Alligator mississippiensis: one gene and its partner. The protein of the gene in region 1 interacts with the protein of each later gene in a biochemical or structural test. Links are inferred from orthologs where the notes say so. Each region holds a gene or a part of one and is shown in the gene's direction. Other genes may lie near its edges.

Evidence for each region.
Region 2: the proteins of torsin-1A-interacting protein 2 (region 1) and torsin-1A form a complex in vitro, tested with the Homo sapiens proteins (4 studies listed by BioGRID and IntAct, with this or other methods). The link is inferred for Alligator mississippiensis from reciprocal best matches to the Homo sapiens genes TOR1AIP2 and TOR1A.

The regions. Positions count from the first base shown.
Region 1 is NC_081828.1:51,637,712-51,646,610, reverse strand, and holds the start of torsin-1A-interacting protein 2, read left to right. Parts: upstream 1-4,929; 5' UTR 4,930-8,899. Other genes in the region: TOR1AIP1 (torsin-1A-interacting protein 1), read right to left, coding at 960-1,007, 2,122-2,181, 4,084-4,858. UniProt on the Homo sapiens protein: Required for endoplasmic reticulum integrity. Regulates the distribution of TOR1A between the endoplasmic reticulum and the nuclear envelope as well as induces TOR1A, TOR1B and TOR3A ATPase activity.
Region 2 is NC_081835.1:58,705,966-58,715,086, reverse strand, and holds the start of torsin-1A, read left to right. Parts: upstream 1-5,328; 5' UTR 5,329-5,350; coding exon 5,351-5,558; intron 5,559-5,840; coding exon 5,841-6,106; intron 6,107-8,073; coding exon 8,074-8,249; intron 8,250-8,339; coding exon 8,340-8,467; intron 8,468-8,891; coding exon 8,892-9,121. Other genes in the region: torsin-1A, read left to right, coding at 2,838-3,076. UniProt on the Homo sapiens protein: Protein with chaperone functions important for the control of protein folding, processing, stability and localization as well as for the reduction of misfolded protein aggregates.

The DNA.
Region 1 (8,899 bases):
GGGGAGAAAGGGAGCTATTCAGAATATGCCAGTGATGTGTGGAATAAGATCATCGCCATGCCGACACTGAACAAAAAAAGGTTAATACTCTGACTAGAAACTAGTCAGATATTTATAGAACAATTCTACTGTAGAGCAAAATTGTTCTTTGACCAAGAAAATACACTTTAAAAGTAACATGCAAATCAATTCTCTTACAGCATCAAACTCCATGAAGAAATGTGAGTGAGAGCACAAAGCACAGCATACAATAGCAAATGCAATTAAGTGTGATATTCTGTAACCCTGAGGCATGAAGCCAAATGGCAACCAACGTGGTATCAAACCCATGCCTTCAGTTCAAAATCATTGTCCACTAAAAACAGAAACTTAAAAAAAAGAGCATTGATGTTTGATTCTTAACATTTTCTTGCTCACACATTTTGAATACTAGTTTAAATATAGCCATAACCTTAATTTAGGTGTATATCAACACCTAAACATATCAAGTATATCAAATATATCAACACCTTGATATATGCATTCTTAAGATTTTGCCAGCACTCTCAGCTTTAATCAGATTTCTAGAATCTTCTTGCAGCCTGTGCAATGTTTGCGGTTAAGCAGAAACTAAGCTCAGCTTGAGAAACTGGGTGGTTTTTTTTGAGTTTCGATTCTGCTCACAGGAGAATCTTAAACTAAGCTCTGGAAATAGGCATCCTCTCATAAGAGCCACGCCCCCTCCCCCCAAGCTTGCAGAGAGGCTCATTTCTTTCTGTATTTTGTAAGAAACAATACAAAAAGTAATTCCACTAACATCATCAACAGTATCCACTTGGAACAGCCAACCTCTTGGCATTCTTCACACAACAGCCAAAGTCCAGCCAGCAACAACATTTTGTTCTCAAGGCCTGACACTACCGCAGTAACAAACGAGATTCAGTAGTAAGCAAACTAGAATGCGTTAAACTTAAACCAACCTGATTCACACGTTTTGGAATCTCTGTTTTCACTGAAGAGAGCATATTCTGTAAGGCAAGGAACACTAACATGATTAACACAGCCGTAAAAAAAAGGAAGGAAATTAAGTGGTTACATTCACATGTGTAGTTCTCTCTACTGCAGCGACCAATACATTTCTCAGGACAAAAGCTATGACTCCACAACCACTTATACATTACAGACATAGCTTCCTGTCTAACTCTCCAAAGGGTAGTTTTGCAATATGTCTTTTTAGAAAGAAACAAGGGATGTGGCAAATGAAGTAAAAACACAAACACATCACATTCAGTATCATGCAGCTAGTACAAGTCTATGCTTCTAGATGCAGAGAAGGCAGTCCTATCACACAAAAAGTAACTGTATACAACGAATAGAGTGGAAGTGGTCTTTTCACAAGCTCCACATGTGATTCAGTTCATGCCAGGTAAGTGGGTTTCTTACTTCATTTTTCCTAGTTTGTTTAGATAGATATTGTCATCATATTTAGTCACCGTACCTTTTCTCCAAAACCAAGAAACACAAGCAGATTCACTCACAACCCTTCTTTCATACCTTCAGCCAAGTACTGCTACAATCTCATGCACTTGATAGAACACATACACTTCTACAGACCCCTTTATTTGTTAATTTCAGAGTGCTACATACTAGTAGCACCCCTCATCAAACTTAAGACACCCCTTTTAAGACTCATGACACCCCTCTGAAAATGCCATCTCTTAGTTTTCACACAAAAAAAAACAACTCAGCTTGCAACAGGTCAGAAGGTTTGTAAATCCATGTATTCCTATTGAAATCTATGAGTTTATCTTGAAAACATTCTTTGCACACTTAACAGTGCTAACACTGCATGATGACACCCCCAACAGCATCCTTGCTGGGAGAATCAATCAATCTTCAAAAATTCTTACAAGATACCAGAGCACTGTTCCCCTTTTGAAAGGTAAACATATGAGGTGCAAGATTAAGTGCCCAACATTATACAACAAATCAATGGTAAAACTGGAAAGGGAACCAAGGCCATCCCCCAGTTCCTACTCCCTGCTTTCACCACTGATCTATACTCCCTAGAAATCTGTTTCAATAGTATTAGACTGCAAGGAGTGAAAAGCTCCTCCACTGGGTGTAGAAATCACTACTTACCTTCCCTTTGAAAACTTCTTATGCTGGGTCGAGTCAATTTGACAAAGGGATATTCACTCCCTAAAACAAAGAATGTGTTAAATGCATAACAAGCTCAAGCACCATGCCATCATTTCTTTCTCCCAACCACTTCAGCCCTCCATTCCATTCCATTCCATTCCATTCCATTCCATTCCATTCCATTCCATTCCATTCCATTCCATTCCTTCAAGAATACTATTAAACTACTCCCTCCCCCACTGCAGGCACACCAGACCCTCAAGCAGTTTGTTCATATGCTTGAGATTTGTGGGACGGGGAGGACAAAGTGAATGGTATATCTAGGGCAAAGGAGCAAGGTACCAGCAGAAGCCAAGAGGAAGGGGAGTGGGAATAGAATAGGCTGTGTATAAAAAAAGGCAAACAAGTATGGTGGACAGGAGCACAGGCATCTATAACTACTATGACACAATCGAATCTAGACCCTGAAAATGATCCCAGGATCCCCAGGACCCAAAGTTTCCCAGCTTTCTGGGAAGTAAGTTTGAATGCCATTGGCAAAGCATCCCTCATCCCTCTGTAATGGATATTCCACGAAGAGGATGCCCATTAATTCAAGTGCTAGAGGTCTGTATTTTGGATGTAGAAGTCAAAATAAGCCTTTGCCTAAAGTAAAAAAAAGCAAACAGGTAGGATTCAATCCTGAATGAGCAATACGATCCAAGAAAAACTCCAAATCCTATCCTTTCGTTCACCATGTGAGAGTGATTTCTGTGAATGCGCCATGTTTAATCATACACCAAATTTGCCCCCCAACTCAACCCTAAAGCATCAGTGATCATAATCTGTGGATTGTCAATTTCCCTTTACATCATTAGTGGATTAAGAAATTAATTTCCTCACACCCAAACCCCTTGCAAAACCCCCAGTCTTGTAAAAGAGGGCAAGAATAATAATAATAAAAAGACAAACCCCAGGGTAACTCCACTCTACTAAGCACAGATGAAACTATCCTAACCATCACGGAATAACTAAACTTCAGGGAACTGTGAAACCAGAGGTCTTGCTACATAGAAGCTTGGAGGAAGGCAATTTCTTTGCAGAAGGTAGTAAGTAGCAGAACGCTCTTGGCTAGAGGTGCATGATACGTCAGTCCAATATCGGATCAGCACCGATATAAAGAAAATCGACTGTATCAGAAACCGGCCTGATGTGCCTGATACTGTGGCAGATAAATGTAGGCAAGGAGAAGAGCTGTGTGCAGCTGGTAAGTCTGTTGTGGTAGAAGGGGGAGTAGGGAGGGAAGGGGCGGGGGACAGATCAGTTGTGGCACACCAGCTCGGTGGCTGACAAGAAAAGAGAGCAAGTGGATGATTCCCTTCATACCTGCCCACTGCCGACCACCCACCCACAATGGCTGGGAAACCATTTGCAGCTCAGCCAAGCCCCAATTTGCACCTCTAGTGATGCAGTACCCGCTCTACCACCTTGCTGGGTGGACTAGCACCTAACACAGTTGGGAACACCCCCGGGGGGGGGGGGGGAAGCTACCCTAGTTCAGGAGACTCCAGTCCATGAAACCTCCCTAGAGATTTTTAGCAGCGACCCCACAGGAAGCTCCTTGTGGCATCGGGCACCAGGCGGGGGGCCTCTCTCGCAGCCTTCCCTACCACCCCGCCGGCGGGCCACGAGCTGCCGACCCGCCCTCCGCGAAGAGCCGCCTCCTGGGGGCAGAGCCGCAGCCGTGGGGGCGGCAGCGGGGCAGGTGCTGCCATCACAATGGCTCCCGCGGCTCGGGGCGGGCGGCGCCTCGGGCATTTCCCTGCTAGCGGAGGGGCTGGTGCCGCCGCACCGGAAGGGAAGGGAAGGGGCCTCCCTGCGCAAGCGGGAAGGGCAGCCACAGCCACCTGCCCTGGGCACGGGGCTGAGCGTAGCCGCAGCGAGGGGCCGGACCAGCCCCCGCCCCAGGGCCCTCCAGCTCACCTGCCGGCGCGTCAGGCATCCCGCGCCGGGGCGCGGTGTTCGACGGCCTCGCCCTGCCCGAGGCCCCGTCTCCCGCCCAACGTCCCGCCGGCGTCTCCCCCGCCGGGGGCCGCTGCCGCGAGCGCAACTCGTAGCCCACACCAGCCGCCATCGCCGCCGCCTCCGTTTCCGTTTCCAAGGAGCCGTAGTCCCGCCCTGTTCGTCCCGCCGAGGGCGGGGCCAGAACGCGCACTTCCGCTCCGCTGTGCTTGGGGCCGGAAGTGCTAGCATCCCCCGGCTCGGCCGCGCCTGGCTCGGGGCCGCCATCTTGTGGGGCCCTCGGCTCGGCGGCGCAGCACGGCCTCAGCGGGGCCCGCGGCGTAGCGTGGGCGAGTGACATGGCTTCGGGCCTGATCCGGTCCGGGTTCGTCTCCCTCTCCCCTCCCTGCGGCCGCCGGGGTGCGCGCAGTCCGGGCCGACGCCGCGTCTGCAGCCGCTGCTTACCGGCGCCGCTTGTGACGGGCAGCGGCTGCGGCGCCGCCCCCGGCTCGGAGCAGCGAGGAGCAGAGCTGGGAGAGCCCGGCCCGGGCGAGGCCGCCCTCCAGCGGGCGCAGTGAAAACAGCCTCCCGGGCGCGACGTGGAGCAGCCCAGAGCGGACCCTTGGCATGAGGCAGGTCCTACCGGACCAGTTGGGCGGCGGGGGCCGGACGGGCTTTCGCCTCTGAGGCGGCAGGACGAGCTTGTGCCGCCTGTGCCCCCGCCATGTTGCCCCGTGGTTTCCGAGAGGCTAAGCATGATCTTATTCCAGCCAGCTCAAGTTCCTGAAAAAAACAGCAACGTGCCTAAGTTTTAAGCCTAAATTGGACAAAGTCACAAAAAGAAGCAAGCGCTCTCTGACGGTAACAGTTTTTCATGGGCTCAAGAAGGTCGGAAAAGGATTTCCTTTACAGCCTCCTCCTACCATTCAGAGATGTTTTACAGACAGTACTTGGATCTGGCCCTAACTCTTCCCTCACCCTGCTCTGCTGAAGACAAGTAGCACAATATTGCTCTTGTGACCTTTGGTAGCAGATCGAAGATAAAGGAGCAGCGTGCGTTAGGTCTGCGCGAAACGGAAGCATTCTGTTTCGACCAACGGTTCGACGGAACAGCGTTTTGTTTCGAGTCGAAACGGCTGTTCCGTATCGTTCTGTGGAAACATTTCTACATTTCGAACCTGTTTTGACATTTCCCCCGTAGGATATAATGGGGAAGGTCAAAACAGGCTATAACTTTGTCATTTCTGGCCTGATTTAGATGAAACTTGCAGGAATGATAGCCCCTTACGAGGGCATGAAGCCTGCCAAGCTTCAAGGAGATAGATGTAGGGGGGTTCAAAGAAACTGCACCCCAAAGTCTTGAGAGCAAAAGTCCTATCACTTGTATGTGTGAAGCCACAGCGGGGTCAAAACTGCAGGCTTGCTAGCCCCTGCTGAAGTAATGAAGCCTACCAGGTCTCAATGAGAGGTGCAGCGGCACTCTGGGTTCTGGGGCCCTACACCTCTGGCTGGTGACAGGCAAAACTCATGACATGGGTGGGTGACTCTGTGTGTTCAGGTGCGCCCTTCCTGGCACTGGGGCCTCTGCACGACACAGCAGTGTGCCCCAGTGAGTCCTCCTCCCCTACAGCCTCAGTCCAGTCTACCACAGTAAATGATGGCAGGTGAAAACGTAGCTGGCTCAACAGCAATAGCACCAGCAGCATCTAAAGTAGCCAAACAACTGTCACAGAGCCTTTCTTGTAAAGGAATTGACAGCAAGAAGTAAAGATGTTGTGTTGGATATATGTTACTCGTGGTGTGTGTGATGGCTTATCCTGTGTTTTTATGTTTGTATGTTCTTTATGAAAAAAAAAGGAATAGAGAAATATCTCTTAGGAAGCTTTCAGGTTGAAAAACCCTTTGTCAGGCTGAGGAAGTACCTGCGGTTGGTGTGTCTCTTGGTCCTGGATGGAAGGAATAGTAAAGAAGCCAGAGGCTGGCCTGGCACGCAATGCAGGCAAGAAAGGCAGTCAGTGAAAATGGAAATGGAGGCGTGAGGGTGAGGGAAAGGGTGAGGTGGAAAGGGGGATGTAAAAGTGCAGAGGTACCTAGGGTGTCAGATGTCCAGCAGGTTGCAGTGTGCCAGAATTCCAAGCACAAACTCAGCTGATTCCCCCTCCTTCCCCAGAATTTCCCTTGCTAGGGCACTGAGATCCAGATCCAGCGCCAGCTCTTCTTCTGGCACTGGAAGGCTCAGCATGGGAAGTGACATAGGGGTGGAGTAGACTGCTGCGATGGTGCTGGTGCTGCTGGTTGTGGTCATGGTGGGGTGCGGTTATGGCTGCTGAGCGTGGAGGGGATGCAGTCTTGGGCGGGGCAGTGGCAGTGGCACCACTCCCCTCTCCTTGCTGCTTTTAGCGGCCTCATCCCTTTCAGCTGGAGGAAAGAGGCTGCGTCTCAGTTTGGTGAGGGGTAGGGGGGACTTACAGCTCTCCCTCTTCCACCCCTCCCTGAAGGCTGGCCAGTGTTGCCACTTGCCTTTCTACCACTCTTCATGAGGTGTTTCAGGACTTCCTTTTCAAGAAATATATAAATGTATTTGTGTTCCTATATAAACTCAAATCTGTACTACTGGTGCAGGCAAGAGATTTATGAACATGGTAGAAATATATATGTCTGTGGATATAAATTCAATAGCGTTGGTATGGTGCAAAGAATGTCCGTATAAAAACAAATATATATAGTAAATTCCTATATAGAATAGGTTCTATAGTAACCCTATCCAATATAAGTATAAAATTCAAAAGAATAAATCAATGAATACAATAATAAAAGCACCTACAAGAAAAAGGTATTCTGAAATCCCTCTCGCTACAGTAACAAGCAGGGAACCCTTTAGAAAATCAGTGCTGCTAGCCCTAGTGGTCTGACAGTGAGCTGCTAGAATAGACAGCTCAATAAGTCACCCAAGGCAGAAAGCAGGAGCAGGTCCAAAAAATGCTGCCTTTTATGCAGTTTTTCTGTCCCTCCCCCAGAGCAATGGGGTTGGAAAGGACCTCAGAGAAGGGTGACAGGCACTGGCCAGTTACACATGTCAATAATGACAGCACTCCTTCCCACTCACCTCTCCCCCTCCATCCCCTTACTTTACTTTCTCTTTCCCCGCAGGGAAGCAAGCCAAGCCATTGAAGGTAAGCCCATAGCCCAGCTTCCTGGTCCAAACTCGAAACGTTTTGAATTTTTCCAAACGTTTTGACCTGCCCTGTTTTGTTTCGACCCTGTTTCAGCCCTGCCTGTTCTGTTTTGACTTTGCTGTTTCGAGGTCGAAATGGCTTGAAACAGCGTTGAAACAAAACGGGCAGCAAAATTTCACACAGCCCTAGTGTGCACCTTCCAGCCAGGCCAGGAGTGAGCGCAGAGAGGAATAAGTCCCTGCAGTGAAGGACTTGCTAGTATAAAATCCCTTGGCTTGCATTATGCGCAGGGGTTAGTCTCACTCATCATAATGATTCCTTCTGGCTTTATCATCATCATGCATCCTGCAGCATTTATATTCTGTTAGTGAACATGGATTAAGGGAATGTTCACACAGTAGGAACTAGATGACATGTTTCAGTAACTTTGAAGAAGAAACTTATAAGAACTTAAACATTTCCTTAAATATGGCTCACCCTGTGCAGTATACTTCCAGTTTTCTAGACAGTATCAGATCACATCTCTGATCCTTTTGCTAAGAGGAGGTTGGGAATTTTAGGCCAGCCTTTTAGTTCCTGTGTCTTGTGAGTAGCTTGTTCTTATGGCTAATTCTGTCAACATCACTATTATAGGGACAGGTAGTATGTTGAATATTGCTATTTTCATTTATAGAAGCTAATTTTCAAACCAGTTCCTAAACTTTTTTTTTTAATAAGCAAAGCTGATTTAATGAAGTGATCAAAAAGGCCAACAGGAAAAGGGCTAGAACCTGTATTTTCTAAATGGACACTGAGTTGAGAAAAATATCTTTCTAACATGCTTCCAACATAACAAATAACAGCAGATGATTATTTGTATTATGGTAGCAACAAAACACTCTAGCTAAGATCAGGATCCCACTGTGCAGAGAGATCAGTGATTTCCCACCTCTTTCAATCTGCACCAGTTCAATGAGAGAAACGCTTCTTTTCCCTTTCCAGTCCCCCAATGGCAGAGAGAATGTTAACTGAAACTTTTATGTGGTACAGTATACCTATGAGAAATATGGGACCCTGCACAATGGTACACACTGCTGGAGGATGACAGAACAGTCTGATGCATTGCATTTAACATGCAGTCTACATTTGCCCAGGGTGAAGTACAAACAGAAATGTGTTTGGTTTTCATTAGAGTCTATACAGTATAGTGGTGGTGTCTCTTGTAGTCTTGCTCCCCACTTTTGCTTCTGGCTGATGTCCTCTGTTGGTTCTCTTTCTACCAATGATAGCCAGCCGTTGACCATCTGATGGTGGTGACCACAAAGTGCCTCATCATCTTGAAGTAGTGCTAGGTATTCTGCAGGCACTCAGGATGCTATCATTGCTTGGATCCCATGCACCAAACACATTGATGCTCAACTCCTGCACCATCACATTGTATCCCTTTCTTCCCAGTGTCTCAGGCTGTACTTCATCAGCTTTCACTCCCAGGTTTTAGCAAAAGCCTGCCACTGGTTTTTAAAGGGGCTGGTCACATCGACAATCAGGATTTTCTTACTATCTTCGTTAGTGATGACAAGACAATGTCCAGTCTCGGTGGGCTGCTGCAGGCTGGGACCATGTGGTTTTTGTCCCTACTGATA
Region 2 (9,121 bases), on another chromosome or scaffold:
CAGCCTGAGGCCGGGCCCAACTCGTCACAGCATTGATTCTCAGTCACTCTGCCCTGCTAGGGCCACACTTATACCACCTCCCTCTCAGAGGCCTTTCACTCTCCACTGGCTCTCACCCGGCATCTTTCATTCTGCTCTTCCTGGGCCTCACTTGTACCACCCCTTCTCTCGCAGGGATCACAGCCACTCTGTCCTCACCCAGAGGGTCCTCAGACTTGCTACTCTTCACTCCCTGACCAGCAAGCGCACAGCCTTTCGGGCATCTCCCACTATCCTCATGTGAGCAAGCGCCGGGCAGTTTACCACGTGCTGTGCCAGCTCTGCCCCATCACATTTCTGGGTAACTCCCCCATCAAGGGCCTCTCCGCCAAGGGGCTGGTGGCTTGCCCATTTTCCTCGCAGCTCCTCTGCCACCCTCCAACTGGCCTCTGGCCCCCAAAGGCTTACCTGGACCTAACTCAGGCCCCCCCATGCTAGCAGGGCCTCCGCTCAAGCCCCCGCTCACAGGCCCCAACTCATGCCCCTCACTCACAGGGCTTCACAGCTGCCACCCCCGTGCAGCCCTTCAGGTGCCCTTCTGCAACAGCACCTCCACTGAGGCATCTACTCTGCCCTGTGCCCTGGGGTCGAACACCCCCCGTGGACTCAGGTGCCACTCATCGATGTGCCTGGCCCACAGCTTGCCCCCTCTCTCAGGGACTGAACTGCTCTTCTTACAGGGTCTTCCATCCCTTCAGGCTCAGGTGCTTCTCAAAGCAAACCTGGCCTCCACTACTCCCCTTCAGGATCTTGCATCCCAATGAGCACAGGTGTCCCCTATGGATGTCCCTGGCCCCACTACTCTCTGATGTTATCACTGTGATCCACCGAGTGGTGGAGGGGCAGGGCTTTAGGTGCCCCAACCCACCATACACCAGGGAGGTCCTTGATCCTGGAATTTGCTGGCCCTGCCCTGCCACAGGCAGGACCACCAAGCCTCCCTAGCTCAGGAGGGTGCGGTTTTAGGTCATGCCCAGGACCACTAAGGCCTCCTTCTTCCCCATAGCCTCACCCTTACCTCCAAGCTGTTCTCAGAGCAGCAGCTCTTCCAGGAGACATCACTTCCTCCATATCTGACAGCAGAGTACTGCCCCCAGCCCTGCTGGCGTGGTACTTAAAAGGCTGCTCATCAGGGCTGGGCTGCACCTGCCTGCTGTCTGATCCAGGTCTTAAGGTGGCAGAGCCCTTACAATGTTTAACAGGGAAGGCTTTTCCCTGCTGCTCCCCAAAACAGGCTCCCCCAGAGCCTGTGACAGCCCTAAAGTGGCGAGCACCCCACTGGTGCTCTGCCACATCCACTGTAACCCCCAGGTCCTTTTCTGCAGAGCTGCTGCTTAGCCAATCAGTCCCAGCCCATACTGGTGCATGGGATTGTTCCATTATGGGTGCAGGAACAATCCTTGTCCTTATTGAATCTCAAGAGATTTCGTTTGGTCCAAACCTCCAATTTGTTGAGGTGTCTCTGAATCTTAGCCCTACCTTCCAGTGTATCTACTACTCCCCCCAGCTTGGTGTCATCCATGAACTTGCTGAGGGTGCACTCCATCCCATCTTCCAGGTCACTGATGCAGATATTGAACAAAACTGGCCCCAGGACCGACCCCTGGGGCACTCCACTTGATGTCGGCTGTCAACTAAACTTTGAGCTATTGATTGCTACCCTCTGAGCTCAATAATCCAGCCAATTTTCTATCTGCCTTACAGTCCATTCATCCAACCTGTGCTTTCTTAATTTGCTTGAGAGAATATTGTGGGAGACCGTATCAAATGCCTTGCTAAAGTCAAGGTATATCGTGCCCACTGCTCTCCCTGCATCCATAGAGCTAGTCATCTCATTATAGACGGCAATCAGGTTGGTCAGGCATGACTTGCCCTTCGTAAATCCATGCTGACTGTTCCTAATCACCTTCTCTTCCAAGTGCTTAGAAATGGATTACTTGCAGATCTGCTCCATGATTTTTCTAGGGATTGAGGTGAGACAGATGGGTCTCTACTTCCCTGGATCTTCCTTCTTCCTTTTCTTAAAGATGGGCACTATATTTGCTCTTTTCCAATTGTCTGGGACCTTCCCCAATCAACAGGAGTTTTCAAAGATAATGGCCAGTGACCCTGCAATCACCCTTCCTCAGGACCATTGGGTGTGCCCTGTGTAGCCCCATGGACTTGTACACATCCAGCTTTTCTAAATAGTCCCTAACCTGTTCTTTTGCCATTGTTGGCTGCTCATCTTCTCCTCAAACTGTGCTGCCAGGTACAGTAGTCTGGGAGCTGAACCTGCCTGTGAAGACTAAGGTGAAAAAGGATTGAGCGCTCCAGCCATTTCTACACCCTCTGTCATTAAGTTGCCTCCCCCATTTAGTAATGAACCCATACTTTCCCTGATCTTCCTCTTGTTGCTGACATACTTGTCAAACCCCTTCTTTTTATCCTTCACGTCCCTTGCTAGATGCAACTCCAGTTGTGCTTTGGCCTTCCTGATTTCATCCCTGCATGCCTGAGCAATGCTTTTATGCTCCTCCATAGTTATTTGTCCAAGTTTCCACTTTTTGTAAGCTTTCTTTTTGTGTTTTAGCTCACTGGAATTCCCTGCTAAGCCAAGCTGTTCTGCCATTCTTGCTAGTCTTCCTGCGCATTGGGATGGTTTGTTCCTGCACCCTCAGTAACATTTGCTCTGCACCTTCACAACATGATGACTAGCTCTGCTTAGTGAAATGTTATGTCCCAGCTTTCTTCCTCTTTACAAATGAGGTAGATGCCTCAGGTATCTAAGCTTGTGCTTTCTTCTATTTTTTTTGCAGGTGGCTTTTGGCACAGCAGCCTGATAGACAGAAACCTCATTGATTTCTTTGTCCCCTTCCTACCTCTGGAGTATGAACATGTGAAAATGTGTGTCAGGGTGGAAATGGAAACACGTGGTTACCCTGTGGATGAAGACATTGTAAGCAGAGTAGCTGATGAAATGACCTACTTCCCCGAGGAGGAAAAATTGTATTCTCGAAAAGGATGCAAAACTATACCCAACGCTGATTTTGATTAGGAATAGTAATGTTTTATGATGCTGCAATCTGCAAAGCAGCAAATGAACTTAAGAAGCTCGGGGAAAACCAAAACTTTTTATTATTTTTCAAGCACTTTTTCTTTTTTTTTTTTAGAAAAGAGAGCAATACCATTTTTAATTGTCTGTCTGATTTAAATAAGTGGCAATCACTTTCATTTTTATCCAGGGGAAACTTTCAGTAGCTACAGCTCCTAAAAAGACTTTGTGCAAGAATCCACAAAGAGGGAAGAATTGTACTTTAAATAAGAATTAATAAGAAACAGAGCTCTATTACGACCATGTAATGCCTTATACTATACATTACTTCCTTTGGGTAACACCTTGCATTTAGGGAGCACACTTCTTCCTTTGTCTTCAGTTTGCCATACATTCATTTATTAGCTCAAATGTAGTCAACAATAAGCTCTGTTCCTGGCTCTGTGCCACTGAGTGACTGCAGAGCCTTAGACTTCAGGCCTGTGCTGTTCAGTTAGGAAAGACGTGTCTATGGAGAAGTTGCCCCTTATGGATCATTGTTTAACGTGATTATTCTCAGACCGGGTGTTGATTGTTAGTTGTGCAGTAGAACCCTGGTACACGTGCTATGCCAGTTTTCACCACGTTGTTATTTGATGTGGAAATGATCTCGGTATTGTATGGCACTTTTTAAACAGAACTCTTATGTCTTCAGGACCCTTCCTCGGTGTTGTAGTTGGGAATATCATCAGACCTGCTTTGAATGGTGAATACATTGGGGGGGGAGGGGGGGGGCAGTTTCCTTAGACTACAAACATTTTTGGTGCATTCAGCTCTGTTGGAACCAATAGGTGAGAGAACCTGGTATAAGACGTCCGGTCCTTATCACCTGGTTTTATGCAGTGCCATTATGAGCAAATCCTTTGGTGCCAAACAGCGTTAGCAGTGTGAGGCATCCAGCTTGCTAGGGGAGTATTTTTCAACAATGCTGAGAAAAAAACCATACCCTAAAGCAAAATCCGTGACAGTGTCCCTGCAATGGAGGAGGTAGCCTGTACTTTTAGCTTTTTGATATGTGAAGTTGGATACGCAGTTTGTTCTCATGCTGGTGTTTCTCCTGCCTTGTGGGATCAATGTAAAAGGTTGTTGGGTAAAATCCATTGAGGCTTCTTGTTCAGATAGTTGGTTTCAGTCACAGGCACTGGGAACTGACCGCACATCTTAAGTCTTCTTTATTGTGTGGTTGGCATAAGGGACAGTTTGCTTTACTCACCAACTTTTATAAATCGATCCTGTTTAGTATGTTTGTGATCTATCCTTGCTTTTCCCCCCAAACATGAGGCAGAGCTATTAAGGAACAGATGAAGATAAAACACTACCTTGAAAAAGAATTATGTACTGTAAGGATTCAGCTAAAGTTATTATATGTGCCAGTCATATTTATACGTCGAAACACTACTGACATTTTTTACTCTGATTTCTAAATAAGATTTGTATTTTGTCAATAAAAGTTTTTAATCAAAAAATGCTTATCGGCTACCTTTCCAGTATGTGTGGATATGCATCGTGGACTGACTTAATGCTTCATTCTAGGCAAGTTTCCTGCCTAATAAGGACAGCTTACTTTTGCTGCTTTCTGCTCGAAACATAATTGTGCCTGGATACGAATCTCTGGTTTCAGGGATACTCAGGGGGTTGGTGCTGGAGATGGACCCCGCTTTTTTCTCATCGCTGAAAATAACTGTTGAGAGCCTAAGACTGCACGGATTTTTAAATTGGACCCAAATTAGTTTTGCAGAAGAAGTGTATTTTGGAGGAAGAAAACGGAGCAGCGAGACTTGTGCTTTTCCAGTGTGTTCTCGTTGGAGGCGGGTAACTCGCGAGCTTCGATCCGGTTGTTCTCGGAGCCGGCTCGAACGAACGACGGGACCGGCCACAACGCGGCTGTGCTGGCTGCCGCTTCTCTGTGGCTGCGGGGAGTCACCTCTGCACCCTGCATTTTGTTTGCTTGGACTTATTGCGGGGGGTGGGGGGGGTATTCCCAACTACTGGCCTTATTTCTGGTGCGCTGCCTTGAGATAACACGGGTTGGGTCGTGCCTGGCTCCCTGTGCAGGGGTGGTGTGTGTGCAGGCACAACGACTGCACGTGCAGGAGGGTGCGGGGGTCACGTGACCGCCCCGCCCGTTCCAAAATGGCCGCGCGCGCGCCCTGCCCCAAACCAAAATGGCGGCGCCGGAAGCGGCGGAAGCGGAAGCGCCGGTGAGGGGCTCGGGGCCGGGGCCCGGCGAGCCCGGGGATGAGGCGGCTGCGGGGCGCGGCGGGCGCCGCCCTGGGCCTGGTGCTGCTGCTGCTGCTGAGCCCCGCGCGCGCCGTGGAGCCCGTCAGCCTGGGGCTAGCGCTGGCCGGGGCCGCCTCGGCGATCACGGGCTACATCTCCTACCGGCCCCTCTACTGCCTCTTCGCCGAGTGCTGCGGGCCGCGCCTGGGCCGGCACTTCGGGCCAGGTGAGGGGCCCTGCCCTGTGAAGGGAGGGGGCTGCCCCGTGACGGGCTGGGCTGTGGTGGGAAGGTGTCCTGTTCTGGGGGGGCTGCCCTGTGAGAGGGGTTGGGGCGCCCCTGAGGGGAGCTGGGGCCTGCATTAGGGAGGGCAGTCGCTTCTCTTCCGGCCCAGCCCAGCCCTCGCCTCGAAGGGGTGAAGAAGCGGGTGTCCTCTCTCGCTTCCCAAGTTCTGACTTTAAACCTGCCGTCTCCCTTTTTTGCGTGCCGCGGCTGGCGCGTTCGCCGCAGCCCTGCAGCAGGATTTGGAGAAGAGGCTGTTCGGCCAGCACCTCGCGCAGAAGGTGATTGTCAAAGCCATCGCCGGCTTCCTGAGCAATGCGAACCCCAAAAAGCCTCTCGCCCTCTCGTTGCATGGCTGGACGGGCACAGGCAAGAACTACGCCAGTAAAATCATTGTCGAGAACATTTACAAGTCGGGCTTGAACAGCAAATACGTCCATCAGTTTGTGTCCACTCTGCATTTTCCACACGCGAGTCTTATCAGGCAATATACGGTAAGGGCACGTTGTGGAGCTGGTCACGCTTGAGGGTCGATTGTGAGGGACAGCCCTTCTGTCGCTTTCTGAAGCGTGTCGAACCAGCAATTCCCAATCCGTGGTACGTGTATCACCAGTGGCACACAGACCACCTGTCAGTGGTACGTGCTAACAGCTTTGTTATAGTTACTTTATACGACAAATTTGCTGGTGGTACTTAAGGTTGTATTGTTTTAAATCGGTGGTGTGCGATCTCTCAGAGTTTGGGAACCGCTGGTGTAGAAGACGGTGTTTATGCACCTTTTTACATCCCTCTTGAGGGGGAGAGTATGAGACCTTTCATTTTCCTTGTTGTATATTTTGGTCCAACAGTCTGGTTGACTTGATGATAACAGGGATTCTGGATACAATTGGGTATCACACTTGGATATAATGCTGATGGGTGCTATAGAAAACCTTAAGATAGATTGAAACAGCTGTGGTGACCAAAGCCAGGAAGTTGGGAGACGGGTTTAATTCCCAACTGTAAAGTAGTGGTAGTACCTCACAAGGAGTGTTGAGGCCCAGTTATACAAAGATCATGAAATGCTCAGATGAACTAGTAATAGGGTCATAAAACTACCTGAGACGGAGACTGTGCGCAAGAAATGGCATTTCTCTGAGTTCTTGTTCTGACTTTGCCACTGACTGTTTTGGACAATTCACCCTCCTTTCTTCCTGTGAATTGTGGTTGATGCTTTTCCACCTGTTCAGTAGTTGGCGAATATTTATATTATGTCCTGAACACATAGACACGGGGTGGGCAAAATATGGCCTGTGAGCCAAAATATGGATCTGTGAGCCAGATTTGGCCCATCAGCTGTTTGGATCTAGCCCAGAGGTGGGCCCCTACCAATTGACTGTATATGGCCTGTGGCTGTCTCTGCATTGCTCTGCTTGGGATCTGAGTCCTGCCTGCACCTGCTGACAGTCCCAGCCCTGTCCAGCATGCACAGCTTCCTGGAGGGACTGCTGCTGCTGCAGCTGCCTGGGTACTGCTCAGCACGTCGTCCTCCTGCTTCCCTGGCTGTGCCACTCTGGGCAGCAGGTAGTGCAGGGCAGTGATGACAGCTGTGAGGACGTGAGCCTGGCACCATGTGCCCAGCCAGGCAGGGGGTTGGTGGGGGAAGCTGCAGCCAGGTGGCTCTGCCCTAGTGCTTGGGGCTCCAGCTTCCAGCTACCTTTCATGCGCTCCGCCCACCTGGTGCAATGAGCAGCCACCTGCAGGTGTTTGACTGGGTGGAAGGTGGTGAGACAACATAAGTGTTCTTATATGATGTAAGAAAACACTTGAGTAAGGTTATCCACTTTTCTGAACAAAATCACACATTTTCAAATGTTTTAAATTCCCTCCAATTAGATTATGTGCTAGTGGTTAAAGGATAAAACCAGACATCATGAATTCTAGATTTTGTTCCCATCTAAGGCTGTACAGTCAGTCACCGGCACAGCTAGGAACAGAGCTTCTTGTTGACTGCATTTGAGCTAGTAAGTGGATGTATGGTACTTTGAGGTCAAAGGATGAAGTGTGCTATGTAAATGCAAAGCATCATCCAAAGAAAGTAGCATGCCATATACGGCATCACTTGGTCCTGTTAGATCTCTGTTTCTTATTCATTGTCATTGTTTTGGCTAAAGTACAGTTCTGTCCTCTGCTGATGCTTGCACAAAGTCTTTTCCTAAGAGCAGATTATTTCTGGCATCTCATTTTTTGAGTTCTTAAGGTTATTTGAAGAACCCTTAGGTAAATCTCTTGCGGTATTATTTCATCATTATTTATTGCTCTGATGCAGATTTCAGTGAAGAAGTCCAAGCTATGTTGGATGACAATTTTATGTTAGATCTTTTATACAAAAGACAGGGATCTAAAGTCATCGCGTGCTCTGTGTGTTCAGTATGATCTTGTGCACATGGAGCTTACATCCTTGTATCTTTGTGTACCATAGGATGACCTGCAGTCCTGGATTCGGGGGAATGTGAGTGACTGCGCCAGGTCAATTTTTATATTTGATGAAATGGATAAAATGCACGCAGGACTCATAGACTCCATTAAACCATTCTTAGATTATTACGAGCAACTTGATGGGGTGTCTTATCGGCAAGCCATCTTCATCTTTCTCAGGTAAGGAATGGCCTTGAATTGCTTACAGTGCTAAGACTGAGGGCCCTATGAAATAGCATCCAGCTCATAAACTTTTTCTCCTTAACATAGCAATGCAGGGGCAGAAAAGATAACAGAAGTGGCACTGGATTACTGGAGAAATGGAAAGAAAAGGGAAGACATAAGTCTCAAAGAACTGAATGATGTGGTCTCTCTGTCTGTTTTCAATAATAAGAATAGTGAGTAATATTGTTAACTATGGGTTTGTAAATCCTTGTGTTTGGATTGGTGGTTCTGCATCCCTGTCTAGTATCACACTGATTTTCTGTGTTTCCTCTCTGGAATATACTTAAGAATCAAACGCTTCTGTTGGAGCGGTCTCCAGTGGGATTTATAGGATTCCCGTGAAACTTCACTGTTTCACGTACTTGAATCCTTTTAGCAGAAAGCTCTCCAATGCGCGTGCTGCCCATAGCGCTGAGCTGCTGTCTTTGAGAGAGGTTGCTGTGCGCCTTCACATGATGAGCAGCTCTGTTTAGTGAAATGTCATGCCCCAGCCTGCCTCCTCTTTACAAATGAGTTGGATGCCTCAGCAACTTAAGCGAATGCTTTTTATAAGTCACTGCCTAAAAAAATACCTTCTTTCTTCTATTTTCTTTGCAGGTGGCTTTTGGCACAGCAGCCTGATAGACAGAAATCTCATTGACTTCTTCGTCCCTTTCCTACCTCTGGAGTATAAACATGTGAAAATGTGTGTCAGGGTGGAACTTGAATCACGTGGCTACGTTGTGGATGAAAACATTGTAAGCGAAGTAGCTGATGAAATGACTTACTTCCCCAAGGAGGAAAAAATTTATTGTCACAAAGGATGCAAAACTGTATACACAAAGTTG